Linked DNA regions of Canis lupus familiaris. The protein of the gene in region 2 purifies or fractionates together with the protein of the main gene of each other region. This does not show direct contact. Links are inferred from orthologs where the notes say so. Each region holds a gene or a part of one and is shown on either strand. Other genes may lie near its edges.

Evidence for each region.
Region 1: the proteins of LLGL2 (region 2) and PARD6G purify together in Homo sapiens (affinity purification with mass spectrometry; 4 studies listed by BioGRID and IntAct, counting the BioPlex papers as one, with this or other methods). This does not show direct contact. The link is inferred for Canis lupus familiaris from reciprocal best matches to the Homo sapiens genes LLGL2 and PARD6G.

The regions. Positions count from the first base shown.
Region 1 is NC_049222.1:529,200-539,693, reverse strand, and holds the end of PARD6G (partitioning defective 6 homolog gamma), read right to left. Parts: intron 6,340-10,494; coding exon 5,507-6,339; 3' UTR 3,684-5,506; downstream 1-3,683. UniProt on the Homo sapiens protein: Adapter protein involved in asymmetrical cell division and cell polarization processes. May play a role in the formation of epithelial tight junctions. The PARD6-PARD3 complex links GTP-bound Rho small GTPases to atypical protein kinase C proteins.
Region 2 is NC_049230.1:5,851,581-5,861,122, forward strand, and holds the end of LLGL2 (LLGL scribble cell polarity complex component 2), read right to left. Parts: intron 9,499-9,542; coding exon 9,394-9,498; intron 9,008-9,393; coding exon 8,715-9,007; intron 8,605-8,714; coding exon 8,454-8,604; intron 8,126-8,453; coding exon 7,975-8,125; intron 7,367-7,974; coding exon 7,250-7,366; intron 7,130-7,249; coding exon 6,963-7,129; intron 6,558-6,962; coding exon 6,293-6,557; intron 6,095-6,292; coding exon 5,941-6,094; intron 5,670-5,940; coding exon 5,641-5,669; intron 5,400-5,640; coding exon 5,352-5,399; intron 5,156-5,351; coding exon 5,113-5,155; intron 4,988-5,112; coding exon 4,926-4,987; intron 4,720-4,925; coding exon 4,712-4,719; 3' UTR 4,358-4,711; downstream 1-4,357. UniProt on the Homo sapiens protein: Part of a complex with GPSM2/LGN, PRKCI/aPKC and PARD6B/Par-6, which may ensure the correct organization and orientation of bipolar spindles for normal cell division.

The DNA.
Region 1 (10,494 bases), on a different chromosome or scaffold from region 2:
TCATCTTGGAATCAAGGACCCCAGAAGTGCATCAGAGTTCTTAAGAAACATTTGATGGAGATGTGAAAATAACTTTATGGCCTTCTTTTGGAACACTTGTCTCAGATTTTTGCTAAACTGGATTTTTAAACAATCAGCATTTAAAAAATATTTAAATGCAATTTGCTAACATAGTATAACCCCTAGTGCTCATCCCATCACATGCCCTCCTCAGTGCCCATCACCCAGTTACCCCATCACCCCCCCACTTCCCCTTCCACGACCTTTTGTGTGTTTCCCAGAGTCAGGAGTCTCTCATGGTTTGTCTCCCTCTCTGATTTTTCCCACTTAGTTTCCCTCTTTCCCTTATAATCCCTTTCACTATTTTTTATATTCCCCGTATGAGTGAGACCATATAATGGTTGTCCTCCGATTGACTTATTTCACTCAGCATAATACCCTCCAGTTTCATCCACATTGAAGCAAATGGTGAGTATTCATCCTCTTTGATGGCTGAGGAATATTCCATTGTATCTATATATACCACATCTTCTTTATCCATTCATCTGTCAAAGAACATCGAGGCTCCTTCCACAGTTTGACTACTGTGGACATTGCTCCTATAAACATTGAGGTGCAGGTGTCTTGGCTTTCCACTGCATCTGAATCTTTGGGGTAAATCCCCAACAGTGCAATTGCTGGGTCATAGGGCAGATCTATTTTTAACTCTTTGAGGAACCTCCACACAGTTTTCCAGAGTGGCTGCACCAGTTCACATTCCCACCAACAGTGTAAGAGGGTTCTCTTTTCTCCACATCCTCTCCAACATTTGTTGTTTCCTGTCTTGTTAATTTTCACGATTCTCACTAGTATGAGATGGTATCTCATTGTGGTTTTGATTTGTATTTCCCTGATGGCAAGTGATATGGAGCATTTTCTCATGTGCTTGTTGGCCATGTGTATGTCTTCTTTGATGAAATTTCTGTTCATGTCTTTTGCCCATTTTATGATTGGATTGTTTGTTTCTTGGGTGTTGACTTTGATAAGTTCTTTATAGATCTTGGATACTAGCCCTTTATGTGATATGTCATTTCCAAATATCTTCTCCCATTCTGTAGGTTGTCTTTTAGTTTTGTTGATTGTTTCTTTTGCTGTGCAGAAGCTTTTTATCTTGATGAAATCCCAAGAGTTCATTTTTGATTTTGTTTCTCTTGCCTTCATGGATGTATCTTGCAAGAAGTTGCTGTGGCCAAGTTCAAAAAGGGTGTTGCCTGTGTTCTCCTCTAGGATTTTGATGGAATCTTGTCTCACATTTAGATCTTTCATCCATTTTTGAGTTTATCTTTGTGTCTGGTGTAAGAGAATGGTCTAGTTTCATTCTTCTGCACATGGCTATCCAATTTTCTCAGCACCATTTATTGAAGAGACTGTCTTTTTCCAGTGGACATTCTTTCCTCTTTTGCCAAATATTAGTTGACCATAGAGTTCAGGGCTCATTTCTGGGTTCTCTATTCTGTTTCATTGATCTATGTGTCTATTTTTGTGCCAGTACCACACTGTCTTGATGATCACAAGTTGTAGTACACCTTGAAATTTGGCATTGTGATGCCCCTGGTTACTCAAGGTCTTTTCTGGTTCCACAGAAATATTTTTTTTTTTTTTTAAGATTTTATTTATTTATTCATGAGAGAGACAGAGAAAGAGGCAGAGATACAGGCAGAAGGAGAAGTGGGCTCTGCACAGGGAGCCTAATGTGGGACTCGATCCCAGGACCCCGGGATCATGCCCTGAGCTGAAGGCAGATGCTCGCTCAACCATTGAGCCACCCAGGCATCCCTGGTTCCACACAAATCTTAAGATTATTTGTTCCAACTCTGTGAAGAAAGTCCATGGTATTTTGATAGGTATTGCATTGAATATGTACATTGCCCTGGGTAGCATAGACATTTTCACAATATTTATTCTTCCAATCCATGAGCATCAATACTTTTCCTCAGTTTCTCTCAGAAGAGTTCTGTAGTTTTTAGGGTATAGATCCTTTACCTCTTTGGTTAGGTTTATTCCTAGATATCTTATGCTTTTGGGTGCAATTGTAAATGGGATTGACTCCTTAATTTCTCTTTCTTCAGTCTCAGTGTATAGAAATGCCACTGATTTCTGGGCATTGATTTTGTATCCTGCCACACTGCTGAATTGCTGTATGAGTTCTAGCAATCTTGGGGCAGAGTCGTTTGGGTTTTCTATGTACAGTATCATGTCATCTGCAAAGAGGGAGAGTTTGACTTCTTCTTGGCCAGTTTGAATGCCTTTTATTTCTATTTGTCTGATTGGTGAGACTGGGACGTCTAGAACTATGTTGACTAACAGTGGTGAGAATGGGCATGCCTGTCGTGTTCCTGATCTTAGGGGAAAGGCTCTCAGTTTTTCCCCATTGAGAATGATATTCTCTGTGGACTTTTCATAAAGGGTTTTTATGATATTGAGAAATGTTTCCTTTATCCCTACACTTTGAATAGTTTTGATCAGGAATGGATGCTGTATTTTGTCACATGCTTTGTCTGTATCTACTGAGAGGATCATGTGGTTCGTGTCTTTTCTTTTACTGATGTGATCTCACACATCAATAGTTCTACGAGTGTTCAACCACCCTTGCAGCCCGGGAATAAATCCCACATGGTCGTGGTGAATAATCCTCTTTATGTACTGTTGGATCCTATTGGCTAGAATCTTAGAATTTTAACATCCATGTTCATCAGGGATATTAATCTGTAATTCTCCTTTCTGGTGGGGTCTTTGTCTGGTTTGGGGATCAAGGTAATGCTGACCTCATAGAATGAATTTGGAAGTATTCCTTCCATTTCTATCTTTTGAAATAGCCATAGTGGAATAAGTATTATTTCTTCTTTAAATGTTTGGTAGAATAACAATCAGCATTTTGAAGGTATCTTTGCAACTTGCCATGAGACCCACTGCCCATATATGATCACTTTGTCTAATACTGCAAGATGCTATGTAACTTGTGATTCATGGCTAGCCTCATTGCCCAGCTGACAGGCTGGCTCCTCTGAAGGGCAGCATAGGCCCTGGGGTTGACAATGTGGATTACCAGGTCAGGGAGATCTACATCTCTGCTCAGTGCCATCTCTTCAGACTGTGGAGGGACACTCCAGTTGTTTGAGTGTCCCCAGCTGTAAACTGTAAAGTCACTGACAGGGTTAAGTTGATGAATGCCTGTACAGAGCACATTTCTTCCAGGAGTTATTGGTGGTTGCTGATGTCACCAGAATGTCTGTAATGACTGAATGGGGAACTCATGCTGCTATGCATCGTACGTAATGTCAGGGTGAGAAAGGATGAATGGCAAATTTGCAAACCTGGGCATATTTAGGGAGAGATGTGTAGGAAGTATTTGGAAAACCTTTTTCAAAAGGACTTAAAAAGAAGTTTCTAGATCTAAGATGCATCCATCTCCCATCAAATACAACTATAATTTCATTATTTGAAATGACCTACACATGCTTGTGTTTGAGTCCATTTTCTCTCTGCAAAATGGGGATAATGCTATTGGCTACGTGTGATGATTAAGTGGAAACATATGGCACAGGATAGGCTCTTGCTAAATAGCATTCCATTCTGAGGGATGAGTTTCTGCTCATCACCAACACTGCTAACCTCTCCAACATTTAGAACACAAGTGAAAAATATTAAATGCAAAGAAAAAGTTTTTATTCTTTGATATATAAAACCAAGAAAACTTTAATGTGTAATACAACATAGTATTTTTGTTTTGTTTTGTTTTAAAAAGAAAATGGCAGAAGATATGGTACAAAAATACACTGAAGCAGCTGTTCCAAGAAATTCAGAATCCCTAAAATTATGAACAACAGCATACAAGTCTGAGGAGGCTTCTTTTTTTTTTCTTTAAAAAATTATTCACATTTACTTAATTTAAAACATGGTAAGAAATATAACGTTCCTTCTTGGTAACAGATCCAGTTACTCAACAAGATATTCAATAACCAGCAATAACTTAGTAAAAGAACATTTCATTTCTGATAGTAAGTAGCACTAGAGTTTTGGTTCTATACTTATTGTAGTAAGAAAAAACCCACTTCTGACTGCTTAGGTGCCAAAAAAGATGCTCATACAGTTCACTGGAGCCCGTAAGTTTGGGTGCATTTGGACTCTCTGCCTAGACCTCAAAGGGAGAGCATCTCTGGTCCTCCCTTTGCTTAGGAATAAAACCAACAGTGATCCCGGTATACAAATAATAACATCAAACATAGGTGCAGGAGACCACAACTACTCAATAAAAGCTATTTCTGCCCAATAAATAGTTTCCAAAAGAAAATTAATTTGCTTTTACACTTAACGAATTCAGGAAAAATGGAGATGTTGACATAGGGTTTTCCCGTTTGTTAGCAGCAGGACAGTTCTGCCACCGACCAGCAGGGGTTGCTGTGCCACAGGAGAAGCATTGCCTGGAAAGGCATCCTAGAAAAATATTTTTACCTGTATTTATATGAAAGCTTTGTTTGGTCAGAGTTCTCGAAGTATAAGTGTAATATTTTCTCCTCGACAGTGGACTCAAACAAAATACACTTCATGTAAAACTGGGTCAAACATGAATAAATCTTTAAAATTACTGAATATATAAAATATTTCTGGAAGATCAAAAAGGAAGTGACAGTGAATTTAATGTGTTAAAAATAATTAATTTTCATGTGACTTGTAATTTAAAAACAGAGATAAGAGAAACTATACAACCAAATGACAGCTTTTAAAGGCGTATCTGGGGTTTGTGGTAGGTGGATCCATCCTTTCTGCTGACAATATTTCAAAAATTGCCCTCAATCAGTCTACAAGACTAGTTTTTATCTATATTGGCTTTTGGTCAGAGAAGTATTGCTGAGCATACAGTGCCATCCAGCAGAGGTGGCGTTTGCCCTCAGAGGCTGAAGACAAGCCGCCTCTGACCACCTGCAGGCACTGCCGGACTGTTTCACACCAGGTCTTTTTTCCAGGGATGTCTGAGAGTTCGACACCCACTGGGCTATCTGAAATAGAGCTGTAAATAATGTGAAAATTTGAGATTCATTGTTTATAGTCCTACCTGTTAAAGGTTTGGTATGTATTGTTAGAAACCAGTCTCTGCAAGTCAGCTGGAGCACAGTAAAAACAGTGCTGACTCGACAGGTTGTTTTTGCACAAGTCACGTTAAAAACACAAATTCGACTGTATTTAAAAAGTAATTTTAAAGCTTCATTTATAAAAGTATCTTTAAAAATTTCTGAATGAAATCTTTTCTGCACGCAGTCAGATCCTTTCTGCCATTTCGGGAAAGGGCCGGGACCGACCTCGGCAGGACGCAGACCGCAAATGAGTGCGTGTGATGTTCTACGCAAAAGTTCTGTAAAAATAGCATCTGTATTTTCTGTCGGCAGGTTTGAATAAAGCGAGCCCGGGGTGCGGGCCAGGAGGCGGGATGGACGAAGAGCCGGGTGGCGGGCTGCCGGGCGGCGCGGGCCTACAGCGTGACCGCCGGGCCGTGCTCCTCCACCGCCCCCGGGGGCAGCGGCAGGGCCAGGCTGTGGCGCGGGTCTGCGCGCAGCGAGCTGAGCAGCCGGTGCGCCGGGCCCTCCCTGCCCAGCCCGGGGCCTGCGCCGTTGACCCGCGCCTGGCTGCCCGGCGGGGGCGGCGGGGGCGGCGGGGGCAGCCTGGGCACCGGCCGCGGCCCCAGCACGCCCTCCAGCACCACGTCGGGCTCGTCGTCGCTGTCCACGTCGTCGGGCTGCAGGCGCAGCAGGGCGGGGGCCGCGGGCAGGCTGTGGCGGCTGGCCCCGCTGTCCGAGGAGCGGCCCGAGCCGCCCGCCACGCGGCTGCCGCGCACCACGTTGTTCCTCTGGTTGGCCGGCTTGACCGTGACGATGAGGTTGTGGCTGTTGGCGATCATCATGTCCGTGACCTGGTCCAGCGTCTTCCCCGCCACCTCGATGCCGTTCACCTCCAGGACCTCGTCATCCACGGCCAGCAACCCGGTGCTCTCGGCCAGGCCGCCGGGCACCATGCGCGAGATGAAGATGCCAGGCACCTTCTCCAGGCCCTGCGGGGCCACGCGCACGCTCGTGCCATCGCGGATGTAGAAACCCAGCGGCTTCTGGCAGCCGTGCCTGTACAGCCTCACGCGGCGGTGCGTCTCGGGCAAGATGTCCACGTCGATGATGGAGGACACCGGGCGGAAGTCGTGCGGCAGGCCGATGTGCAGGTGCGTCCGCCGGCGGGGGCCGTCCTCACGCAGTGCCAGTGCCTTCCTGCGGCGGGACAGCGAGCCAGCCCCGAAGCTGCCATGCTCGGCCTCCTCTGAAACAGCAGAGGGGACGATCAGGATGGGGCACAGTAGTGGAGGGTGGGGGCCCTGGGCCCGCCTCTCTGCTGCCCACCTGTTGGCTGGGCCCCGGGCTGCCAAACTCCCAGGCACTGAGCACCACAGTTACCTCTGGCTTCCATGGACTCCCAGGACTCTCACCCACATGCCTAGCAGGTCTCAGCCGCCAGGATGCTATGGAGGGACTTCCTGAGTTGTTTCACTGAGTCCGCAGTGATCCTGGCATCACTTGAGCTGGCCCAAGAGTTCAAGTCCAATCCCTAAAGTTAGCTCTCTGCAAATCTCCAGAACCACCCACAGGCAGTCGACAAAATGAATGAAAGGTGGAGAGGAAGAAACAAGAAACTGCAATAGATGGAAAGTTTAAGTGCCTGATTGGACTTTGGGAGGAGGGCAGCTCAGGGAGCGCCAGGACTCTCCCCGACCTCAGCGACCACTGCAGGGGCAGAATCTGGCTGATGGGACTATTTTGGGATAGTGGAGTCTGCTGAAGGATTCCAACTGTCCAGCAGAAGGAGCCAGTTCTGGTCTATTCTAGCTTGGAGCACAGGGGCAGCTACTCAGCCCTGCAGCAGGCAGCTGTGCATGTGTTTCAGGAGCCGCCTGCTGACGCCAGGTCAGCAGGAAGGACCCTTTCCTTCCAAGAGCAGAGTCTGTGCTCTGACTTCACAGGTGCAGATACAGAGGCTGCGGCCACTGCTGTCGCTGCTCTGGCTCCAGCTTGCGTGACTGCAATGGCACTGAGAGGGCGGGTGCCCCCTGATGCCCCTGTGGTTTCTCACTTTTCCCCTTTGGGGAGCCACACATTAGGACATTCAGAAACAGCTGCACACGTGGGAAATTAGGACGGATGGTGCCTGCCCAAGGGAAGGCTCAGAGAAGACCCCAGAAGACACTGAGCTTGCACCTTGGGCTGATCCTCAGCACAGAGGCAGCCTGCCACCATCCAAAGAATGATGACAACAAAACAGCAAAGCCTGGGAAAGGGGGGTGGGGAAGGGGAGTCTGATTTCCAGAGTCACCACATCAGGAGATTCGAATGTGCCATGTTCAGCCAAAAAATCACAAGGCACAGGGAGTTTGGCCCATTGAAAGGAAAAAGGGAATTCTACAGAATCTGTCCCTAAAAAAGACCTGATGTCAGATCTACTGGTCAGACATTAACATGAATGCCCTGAGACCGTGGGGCTGAGAGTAGAGGAGTCTGAGCTCACCTCCCCCCACGGACACACAAGGCATCCACCACACAGAAGGCAACTCAACCCGAGAACCTGAGGCTAGCAGGACAACTCTTCCACAGCCAAGGACAGAAAGAAAAAGCCACACCAAGAAGGGCAGGAGGGGCAAAGACAGGAAGCAAATTCCTGGCACATGACCCACATGCAGGATGGCTATCACAGTTGCAGAGGTCCTCCCTGAGGACTGATGGCATCAAACCCCCAGGGTGACCCTGTACGAGGAAGATGAGCCCTCCTGATGTCTAGCTTTGAAAATCAGCAAGGCTCAACCCCGGGAGCTTTGAAAACTAGTGGAGCCTAACTCCAGGAGAGCAGGGCTGCTTTTGGAAGGCTAGTGTACTGTATCACTTGGCTTCAGAGCCAGTACAGAGGCAGCAGTCTGAGAAGTGCCTGGAGTATACGTAAGGGAAACTTACTGACAGATTTTAGGGCATGTGTTGCAGGGGCAGGAATCTGCAGGTGCTTTCTTTGGGAATGGAAGTGCTGATGGACACTACTGTTTTGCCCTCTTTCAGCCTAGCTGGCCAGGCACCACTACTGGCACTCTCCATCTAACGTGCTGGTCCTGCTTGCCTGGCCTTGGCAGGCACTCCTCCATCTGCCACACCCAGGGGGTAGCCCCAGCTGGGACGGACACTGCTGCACAGGGACTCCTGGCCCCAGGATGGGGGACAGCTCCCCCTACCAACATACTCCCAGCAGCCCACCCAGGGGACAACCCTGAAGCACATGCTTCTGATGACCAGAGGGGACTATGGCCCCAAAAGACATCTTTTGTGTGAGTCTATCACTTCAAGACCAGGAGACATAGCTGATGGATCTAATACATAGAAATAAACACAGAATCAGACAAAACCTCCGAAAAGGACCTAAGGAAATGAAGATAAACCACCTTCCTACTTGATAAAGAATTCAAAGTAATGGTCATAAAGATACCCACCAGACTTGAAAAAAAGAGTAGATGAACTCTGAGAACTTTAGTAATGAGAGAGTATTAAAAAAGTTGAATCCAATAAGTATAATGAAAATTATATCAGAGAAAACAAATAGCAGATTTGAGGATGCAGAATGGATCAATCAATGGTCTGGAAGACAGTCATGGAAAGCACCCATGCTGAACAACAACAAAAGGAAAAAATTAAATGATGAGACAGGTTAAGGGCTAAGTGTTTAAGATTCATGGGACAGGGGTCTTAGAGGGAGAGGAGATAGAGAAAGGTATAGAAAACCTATTTGAAGAAATAATAACTGAAAACTTCCCTAACCTGAAGAAGGAAAGGGATCTAGGTCCAGGAAACAGAGAGATCCCCAAAAAGATGAACCCAAGGAGTTACATACCAAGACATATGATAATTAGAATGTCAATGTTAAACAGAGAATCTTAAAAGCAAGCAAGAGAAAAGCTACTAGCTACGTAAAAAGGAAAGCCTATTAGACTGTCAGTTGATATTTCAGCAGAAACTTTGCAGGGAGGAGTAATAGGTTATAGTCAAAGTGCTGAAAGGAAAAAACCCTACAAGAAGAACATTCTGTCCAGCAGGGCTATCATTCAGTACTGAAGGAGAGATGGAGTTTCCCTGACAAACAAAAATTAAGAATTCCTAACTACTAAGCTGGCCTTATAAGAAACATTAAAGGGACTTCTATAAGTGGAAAAGAGAAGGCCATAACTAGAAGTACAAAAATTATGAAAGGGAAAAATTTCACAGATAAAAAGCAAAAACATAGTAAATGTAGTATAATTAATATACTCATTAAGAGTTACAAAACTAGTATGAATATTAACAAGCAAAAGTGGTAAAATAAATTATATCTATAAAACTTGGGGATACACAAAATAAAGTAAAATACATCATGTCCATAAATTATTTTTTAGAGTGCTTTTGACTTAATATAGATTGCTGTATATATGCTATACATATATCATGAATCTCATGATAACCACAAGCCAAAAACCAATAAATAGATACACAAAAAATAGAGAGGAATCCAAGCATAACACTGAAGAAAGTCATCAAATCACAAGGGAAGAGAACAAGAGAAGAAGAGAGGAACAGAATTATATCAGAAAACAGTGAACAAAATGGCAATAATTACATAACCTATTGATAATTTAATGCTCCAATCAAAAGACATGGGGTAAATGGATCTATAAACAAGATCCATCTATATGCTGTCTGTAAGAGACTCACCTTAGATCTAAAGACATACACAGATAAAAAGAGAAGGGATGGAAAAAGATATTCCATGCTAATGAAGAAAAAAAAAAAAGCAACTGGGATAGCAATACTTATATTGAACAGACTAGACTTTGAAATAAAGACTATAACGAGACAAAGAAGGGCATCGCATAATGATAAAAGGACCAGTCCAACAAGAGGATATAACAATCACAAACATGCATGCAACCTGAAGCAACTAAATACATAAAGCAACTACCAACATTCTAAAGGGATAAACTAATAATAATAGTAGGAGACTTTAGCACTTCACTTGCATCAATGGATAGATATTCCAGACAGAAAAATCAATAAAGAAACAGTGGCTGTAAATGACACATTAGACCAGATGGACCTAACAGATATATGTAGAACATTCCATCCCAAAGCAAAAGAATATACATTCTTATCAACCACATGTGGTGCATACTCCAGGACAGATCATATTTGGTCACAAAACAAGTCTCAATAAATTTAAGAAGATTGAAATCATATCAAGCACCTTTTGTGACCACAATGGTATTACTAGAAATCAAATGCAAGAAAATGGAAGAAGCCACACACATGTCAAGGCTAAGTAACATGCTACAAAGGATCAACAAAGAAATCAAGCGAAATAAAAGTTCCTGGAGACAAATGAAAATGGAAACACAGTAGTTGAAATTCTTTAGGA
Region 2 (9,542 bases):
TTAGTTCTTGAAAGCGCGCTAAGAGGTGGGTACCCTGAGGATTCCCATTTATGGCTCATACGATGAGGCTTACAGCTGAGCGTCCCAGTAGGGTGCCAATCCAAGCAGTGTGGCACCCAGAGCCCTCTGGAGCAGGGGTGTGGGGGCCTACCACCAGCAGCAAACCTGACTTTCTTTGGCCCATTGCAATGTACCCCCCACAAACCCCTGGAGCAACCAGAGAGCTCAGTGCCCCTCTCCAATCTCTTATCTTCTTAGGAAGATCCAATCCTCCTGGTTGATCCAGGCCGGGGCTTGTAGCTCACTCAGCTCTGTGATCCCTTCCCCGGCAGCCTTTCTTTTTTTCTTTTTTTAAAAGATTATTTATTTATAGACACACACACACAGAGGCAGAGACACAGGCAGAGGGAGAAGTGGACTCCATGCAGAGAACCTGACGTGGGACTCGATCCAGGGTCTCCAGGATCATGCCCTAGGCTGCAGGTGGTGCTAAACCGCTGTGCCACCAGGGCTGCCCACCCCGGCAGCCTTTCATTCAGATCTCCCCAAACCCTAGGAAAGGGATAAGATCTCAGTTGTACAGATGGGGACAGCTCAGGATAAGTGGATGAAGGCCATATAGCCAGTAACTAGAATTGGGCACCAAACCCAGCTCCTTGACCATGACTACCTGCTATTCTGTTCCTCAGAGCTTCTGCTGGGAACTGGCTTTGGAACCAGGCAGCCTTGTCCCTCCAGCCTGCCTCCTGGCTGTGTGACCTCAGGCAGCCTCCAGGGACCTCCCCCTACCTGTCCACCAAGCCCAGCTCTGGACTCTGGCTCCTTTGTTCCCTACTCATTCATCCACCTGCTTTTTTTTTTTTTTTTTTAATTTTTATTTATTTATGATAGTCACACACACAGAGAGAGAGAGGGAAGAGACACAGGCAGAGGGAGAAACAGGCTCCATGCACCGGGAGCCCGACGTGGGATTCGATCCAGGGTCTCCCAGATCGCGCCCTGGGCCAAAGGCAGGCACCAAACCACTGCGCCACCCAGGGATCCCTTCCACCTGCTTTTTTTTGCTTCTTAAAAGATTTTACTTATTTATTTATTCATGAGAGACACACGGAGAGAGGGAGAGACACAGACAGAGGCTCCCTGCGAGGAGCTAGATGTGGGACTCAATTCCAAGACCCTGGGATCAGGATCTGAGCCAAAGGCAGATGCTTAACCACTGAGCTACCCAGGTGCCCCTCCTTCACCTGCTTTGCTCCTCCTCTCACCATGCTCCCTCCCTCCCTCTCTCCCAGCCCTACCACTAGCCAGGGTCCCTTGCCTGGGTTAAGGTGCTGTGCGATTTTACAGACTCTTTTAATCCTTACTATCTGTAGGGTAGGCTCTATGATTATGCTCTGTTTTATAGATGACTAAAACCATAGCACAAGAGTGACGTCATCTACCCAAGGTCACACAGTGGGTCACAGGCAAAGTGACACAGTGTTTGGGGACTGGGTCTACCTGCCTGACTTCCAAGTCTAAGTAAGCACTAAGTGTCCCACCTGTCAGTGCCGAAGACCCTCAGATCCCAGTCTCTAGACCACGTGTCCAGCTGCCCTTGGAACACCAGCAAGGCCTTGGAGTCAGCAGTGATCTCTGTCACTCACTCACCTTCTCCATCTGGCAGAGGTCCTTGTCACCTCTACTCTTGGTATCCCCACCTGCTGCTACCATCACCCCTCCCTGGACAGAAGCTGCAAGGACCTCCAGCTTCTCTCTGTGCCAGCCCAGCTTCCATTAATCCACTTTCTAGACAGTGCCAAACCCTTCCATTTGTGCATGCCTATCAATAAAAATTGTTGATCTCATACTCCTGATAGGGGAAGGTTTTTCTAGAACTGAAATAGGTGAGCCACCGACAGTAGCTGATACTTCACAGCACAAAGTACTTAAGGCAAAGCTCAGCCTCAGTGAGCATGGATGTAAATCCAATCCATGTTCAGAGTGGATATTTTCAGGTGTGTGTGTGTGTGTGTGTGTGTGTGTGTGTGGCGCTGGGTGGCTTCTGTTCAGTGGAGCTGGATCATTGCTGTGGCTATGAGGCTCTCTGTGCCATGGAAGTGTTTGGGTCTGTTGTTTTCTGACATGTTGGTGCTTGTGTTATTACCATGGTCTTCAATTCTTGGTTTCTTTGGGAGGAAACTTCATGTCACTTGTCCACTTGTGTGAGTTAATTTAGCTAACTGGACAAAAACAAGCAGTAAGCCCTTCTAAACCAGTAGTCAGAAAAGCACATGAGTCCCCATAGACTGTGTGTGTGTGTGTCTGTGTGGCTGTCCAGCTCTCTGGGGTGTCATGTTCTCACTCCCTCCTTGGCACCCACTTTTGGAGCATAACCCTCTGACCCCCAGACTGAGGACCCAGTGCCAACTCTATAAGGTGTAAACAGCAGAGTTTAATTTCTTTTATGATAAAAATAAAGATCCTGTGCAAAAAAAAAAAAAAAAAAAAAAAAAGATCCTGTGCAGGGAAGCGGTAACATGCTCTCTGTGACCCTGACAGAGGGTCATGAACCCGTGAACTTCGTGGACTCCCTTGAACCTCACAACAGGTCCTGAGCAGGTACTATCATTATTCCAATCCCCAGAAGAAGCTGGGACGCACAGCAGGTAGGCAATTTGCCTGAGGTCACAGAGTGGAACTCGCTGGGATTTATGCCACGGTGATCTTTGGAAGCATAAATTTCACAGGGAAATTCCCTGCTTAAGGGAAGCATCTGAGATGCTTCCAGAGTCTCAGAATCAAGTCCAGACTGTCTGGCTGGGTGTGTAGCAGTCCCCTCCTGTCTGTAGCTCTGTCTCTGTATCTACCCAGAATCCCTTCTCCACTACTTCTAGGACCATGGTCTGGGCCCCTCTTCCTTTTGAGGGACTGTTCCTCCTCATTCCTTGTGGCTTTTGGGACTATCTCAGTAAGCGCCACCCCCACTTCCAAGGAGAACAGGGGCCACTGGAGTGGCCCAAGTTAAATAGCCCAGAGACTTTTGAGCTGCACATGCTTGCCTGGAGGGTGCTAGGGAGGACGTTCCCACAGCGCATCCATCCTGGGACCTGGACCTTGGCTCCTCCTCTGCCTTGTGCACCAATCCATGTCCTTTTCTAACAGCCCCAGAGGTGGGCTCCTGTGCCACACAGCAGTGCCCCTGCCCTCGCCAGGCTCCAGGGGCAGGGGGTCCCAATCTGGCCCCAGTCACGTGGTAGTCTTGTTTTCAGAACACTTCCTGACCACCCCCTTCAGTTTTTTTTGTTTTTTTAAGATTTTATTTATTCATGAGAGACACAGAGAGTGAGGCACAGACATAAGCAGAGGGAGAAGCAGGCTCCCTGTAAGGAGCCTGATGTAGGACTTGATGCCAGACCAGGAATCGTGCCCTGAGCTTTGGGGCTCAACTGCTGAGCCACCCAGGCGTTCCCACCCCCTACCCCTGCCAGCTCTGGACCCACCAGCTCCCAAGGCAAGCTGCTGGCTCCTGTCTTCTGTGGAGCACCCTCTCTGGTCATGTTCCTGCCCCAGCTTACTGTCACCCCCGGACTGCCTGCATCTTAAGACTTCCTGCCCTTGTTAGGACGGTGAGCCCCACAAGGCAGGGACCCCATGTGCCTGGCATATAGTAGATGCTCACCAAAGACAGGTAAATGAAGTAGAATCAAGTAGACCAACCCCCGGGGCAGCCTGGATGGCTCAGTGGTTTAGTGCCACCTTCAGCCCAGGGTGTGATCCTGGAGATCCAGGATTGAGTCCCCCATCGGGCTCCCTGCATGGAGCCTGCTTCTCCCTCTGCCTGTGTCTCTGCCTCTCTCTCTCTGTCTCTCATGAATAAATAAAATATATATATATATATATATATATAAAGTAGACCAACCCCCCTGGTTTATAAGGACCAGAACAGCTATCTGATCCAGCTGTTCATCTGAGGGTAAGACCTTTCATCTCTGGGCACAGTCTCTGACCTCAGCAGCAGCTCCCAGCCCTTCCCTGAAGTCTGGAAGAAGGCAACAGGTCTGAAAATACGGTGCGCGTCTTCCCCTTCTGACAGCAAGGAAAGGCCAGTCAAACCCTTCTGCCTCGACCCAGGGATGCACAGTCATGCAGACTCGCGATGGTTAACTCTTGCCATTCATTCCCAAACACAGAAGTGTAGTGTCCAGATACAACCAAGCTCAGTTTGCTCTGACTCAAATGTCTTAAAAAGAGAGATTCTCGGGAGTACTGGTCTGGTCCAGTAACTGCACCCCAGGGGCAGAGGCAAGGGACTGGCTAACCGTTGTTTCCGTAGAAAATTTCTGCATAATTAAAAGAATTAGTCATTGGACCAGTCTGGTGAAGAGGTAATGTGTTTATTAAAAATTATTTTTCCACCCAGAGGCAGTTAAAATTTATAATTTAAAACCCAGCCCACTACAAAAAGGGGAGGGAGTAAAAACTGTGCAACATTGACAAAAGAATCAACAGAGACAAGGCCCAGGAGGGGCAGCCCCGTGGCCCTAGGCCCCCGCCTCTCCCGAGGCCAAGAGCAGCAGCAGGAGGGTGGACATGGGGCTCCGCTCCAGCCCTGGGCATGGCCCGGTGTCCAGTCCTCCCTGGGGTGGGGGTGGGGTTTAGGGGAGGGCAGGGCCCCAGGGAGAGCCCTCAGTAGTGTGTGTTCACGGTGTAGCTTGGACTCACAACCTGTTCACTCCGCTGTGGAAGTAGATAGAACAATGACAACTCAGGAGTCTCTTGGGTGGGCCCAGAGGCCTCGGTCACCCACCCTGAGCCTAGACACACAGCTTTTCAGGACCCCCGGGGGCATGTATGGGCTCTTCCTCCTACCCCCTCTCACCCCAGGCCAGCAGGCATACCCTCCCAGTTGCCCCCAGCCCTGTAGCAGTGCCCAGAGCCCCTACCTCCCCCATTGCTGAGGCTGTACCCCACGGTCACTCGCTGAGAACGCCAATCGCCATAGCTCCTGAAGGGCAAAGACAGGGCAGTCACCATCCATGGGGACCACTGGGAGGCCAGACGAGGCCCATCATTTCCTGAGATCTCTTGGAGCCCCCGGACCCAGCCCTGCAGGCCCCAACAGTAACTCACCCTCGGTCTCCCTCCAGTGTGCTCTGGATTTCCTTCAGGACCCCTGCAGGGTTGGGGAACAGAGGCGCTGTGAAGCCCACAGATGCTGAGCCGGACACGAATGTTTCGCCCCCTTTTACTGGCAGGGTGTTGGGCAGGTCTGCCTCCCACAGGGTAATGGCCCTCAGTTCCACCCTGGCCTTCCAAGCCTCCCTTGGAACATCCCTCAAGCCAGCCCACCAACTCCTGCCCCAACTCACTCTCGTCATTGAGCAGGGCGTGCTCCATCACTGGACCAGGCCTTTTCTCTGAAAGGCAGAGGCTGAGTCAAGCAAGCCTTGGGGCCCCTTCGGCCCCAGCTCCCTCTTTACTGAAGTGGGAGTGCTGGAGCCCAGAGCTCAGGACTGGAGGGGATGCCGTTTCTTCGCTTAGCCCAAACACATCTGCAGGCCTGGGGTTCCTCTCCTTCCCCTTCGGTCTGGGTCTGGGCCCAAGTCTCACACTGCCTCTGTCCCCCCGCACCCCTGGCCACAGGGAAGCCTGTCTTACCCTCTCCATCACTCTGGCTCCCTGAGTTCCTGTGGGGAGAGAGATGGTGAGGACTGGAGTGAGGGGGGCAGCTAGGCTCCCCCCCCCCCCCAATTCCAGCTCAGAAAGCTCTGATCCCATGAAGAATGAAGTCAACTGACCGGGCCCACCCTGAGCCAGAACCAAGCCCTGCCGGGGATAGCAGCTTGCATGGGAGGGGCCTACGAAGGGGGGTGGTGAGCCAGAGCCAGGAGGGTGGGGAGCTCACAGGAGAGGGGGGTCTCAGCGAGGCACCCTCAGGCCACCCGCCTTTTTACCAACCTGGCTTGGCCCAAGGCCTTCTCTGGGCCTGATCCGTTGCGAGGGCGGCTGTGGCTCTTGGCTTCTGCTGACTCCACCAGGCAGCGGGGCTCAACCAGCCACTTGGTGGAGAGAGAGAAGCGCTCAAACTCTGAGGGTGAGATCAAGTAGAAACCTGGGGGGAGGAGAGGCCTGGCAGGTGAGGCCAGCCCGTGGCTCCTGGGCCCGGCTGTCGACAGGACTTCCCTCCCAGGAGGAATTGGGGGCTGGGGCCTCCCTCCAAGTTCTCGGCTGAGGTAAGTCCAGCCTGGCCCTGGCTGCGACAGCCCTGGCTGTCATCGCTGCGGCCCCGCCACACCTGCCCGGTGCCCACCTTGGCCGTATTTGGTGAAGACGCAGGAGGCGATGCCACTGACATCTTCCCGGCGAATGCAGCTGTACCGCACCTGGGGCTTGAGCAGGGGCAGCGAGACCACCTGCACGTCGCCCAGGTTGGTGAGGACGGCCAGGTGATGCTCCCCGTAGTCCTCGGCTCGACGGCTGCTGAAGTGGGCCACGCTGACCCGCCGCACCCGCGAGCCCTCCAGAGCGGTCAGCTTCAGCTTCAGCTTGGCACTCACCTTGGGCAGCGTGAACACCTGAGGGCACAGAACAGCTTGAACCCTGGCCAGACCATGGCGCCCTGCTTCCCAGCAGATGCCCCTGCCCTGCCCTGATTCCCAGCAAAGTCTGCTCAAGCTCTGTGCCTCTCTGCCCAGTGCTCGGCCACGCAGCCACTGCACCTGGACTGCGAGGAGGCCTGGGCTACTTCTTTCCATGTCTGTTTCTGTCCCTCCTATGGACACAGGTCCTGTTTCAGTGTCCTCCTGCTGACGCCGGGGCCCCGGACTCTACCCCTCTCCCTTTCTGTGCCTTGGTGACATCTCACATCAACTGCAGATCCAACTTCAAGTGGACCCCAGCCACTGTCATTGTGCCCAGGATCTGAGCTCCCCAGATGTCCCCCGGACTCCCTGAGGTTCCTGGTTCTACCCAAGCAACACCTTGAATTGCTCCTCTGACACCACAAGCAGCTGGTGGCTTCCCTGCATGTCGGGGCTCTTTGACAGGTCATGTGCCACCTCCAGGGGCTCAGGAAGGGGCACGCTATGTCCGTCCAGCACCAGGATGCCCACCACGGGTGCTCGGTGCATCAGCTGGATCTCCTTGGCTACAGGGCAAGAGGCAGATGGCGGGTGATAGTCAGGCGGGGGGCAAGGCCAGAGATACCACCCCAGCCTGAGCCTCAGCAGATGAGCACCCTCTGCTCTCCCCACTGCCCAGCACTCACCCTGCTCTGCCCGCACGGGCTCGTCCATTCTCCGCTCGGCGGGGGGCACGCGCAGGGCAAAGGCGTAGACGGCACCCCCATTGGTGCCAGCCCACAGAGAGGGGCAGTGGCGGGAGCCTGCCAGGAGGCAAAGGTTTATATCTAACCCAAGGCTCTGGGGGTCAGGTAGAGCCAGGTGACCTGAGCTTGCATCCTTGCCTCGCCACTCACTACCTGGGTGACTCTGAGGTCAAGCCTCTGTTTCCTCCTCTGTAAGACAGAATGGCTGTGGATCCTGCCTAACCCCCTGGGGTGTAGACAGAAGCCAGAAGGGCTGTCTGACAACCAAGGGCCCCAAGCACAGATGATCTCAAACCCAGGACAGCTCAACCCTCAAGACACAGCACTGGATATCCCCATGCCACCCTTGCCCTGGTGGGAGGCCAGCAGGGGAGCTTCTGCAGGGCCCACTGGATGCCAGCAGGCATTTTGCGGGGGCAGAAGCTGAGACCCAGATTAAGGGACGTGTCTAAGGTCACACTTCCAGAGAGTGGGGGAGCCTGAGTATGTAGCTGGGGCAAGCTCCCTTAGAGACCCAAGCAGGGGAAAGAAAGAGGCAGGCGGAGGATCTGGTCTCCCCATGCTCCAAGCCTGGTCCTTTTAGCCAGGCCAGGTGGCAGCCCCCAATATGACCTCAGGCCAAGGAGTGCTCTCCTGGGACCCCCCACCTCAGGCTGGCCACTCACTGTCCCTCAGATAGGTGTCAGCGAAGTAGAGGGTCCGGACAAAGCCCGTGAAGGAGTCCTCTGCTGAGCGAGCTTCAATTTTCCGCTGCACGGGTGCCAGCTCCATATTCTGCACACCCACCCGCTCGGCCCTGGCGCTCCCCTCCTGCACCTGCAGTGGGTCGGGTGGGGCCTGAGTGGGAGGGGTACTCTGGCCTCCCCTTCCTGGGGATATCAGATTGCCCCACACCAATCCTTCCAGAAGATGATGACAGGCCACTGCCCATGCCACCACCTGTCCAATGACATTTACTGAGGACTTAACCCTTTACATTTGGGGAAGATGAGGCACAGGTCACTTGGCTGGTGGGCAGTGAGGCAGGACACGAAGCTACTGGTGGGGCCCAGAGCCTGTCCTGGCAGCCAAAGCAGCTGGGGGATGGAGGCCTAGTCTGGACCCGCTGCTGGCTGCTCTGAGCTCTCCCCAGGCTCAGCCTCACCTCTCCAGGGGGACCAGCTGGCCGCCGCTTCCGGCTGGACACTCGGCTCCGACGAATCCGGCGGAAGGACTGGCGCAGGGATTTCTTTAGGGACTTCACTCGGGACAGCGGGCCCTCCAAAGCTAGCTGGTCACTAGGGTGCAGCGTGCATCTGGGGGGGGGGGGGGGCGCATCAGGGCATCAGTGCTGCCAGGGCCCAGGGGTCATCGCCCACTGGCAACCCTAGGTTCAGGCCTCGGCCACCCCGGGCACGCTGCTTACTTGACAAAGACTTGCCGCCGCTGCTGGTGGTCAAAGAGGCCAAAACCATGGCTTGTGCCGAAGGCCACAAGCCGCCACTCAGAGTGCAAGGCCAAGGAGGTGACCACAGCCGGGGGCTGGCACTGCACCAACACAAAGGGCTGGAAGCCAGGCTCGAAATGCACGGGCCCTGGGCGGGCACACAGGCGCTCGTGCCCCTTCCAGCGGTAGCCCTCCTGGTCCTGCAGCAGGTCGGCCTCCACCTGCTCCACAGCATGCTCTGCTTCCTCATCATTCAGCTCAAGCACCAGCACCTGGGGGAGACGGCAGGTGGGCTGAGCAACCCCAGCACCAAGGGACAGCACAGGGACCCTGTGTGTGGACAGTAAAGGACCTGGGACTCATGCCAAGTCCCAGGGCCCAAGGAGAGCCAGAAGGCCTCTGCCCCATCCCTGGCCCTTGATCTTGGTTTTTGGAGGAGAAACAATCACCTCACAGGTCTGTCCCAGGGGACCAGGCAACCTCTATCCATTGGGAAAAGCCCAGAGCCCAGAGGAGCAGGTGATGGTCTGGTGACACCATCAGTGGGTGCTCAGGAGATGGGCCCCTGTCCTTCCTGCTCTACGACCCCGGGCCGCTACCCAAAGTCACCTGACTATTCCTCCTAGCAGCACCCCCTGAGCCCAGCCCAGCCTGCTACCTGCCCTGCCGTGCCTGCCACAGCCAGGTAGCCACTGTATTTGCAGAGGAAAATCTTCTGGATGCCCAGCCTAGGATCATCACTGTAGGGGTCGAAGGAGCCCACCTGCCAATGGAGAGGTCCATGGGGGGCTGTAAGTGCCAGACCCA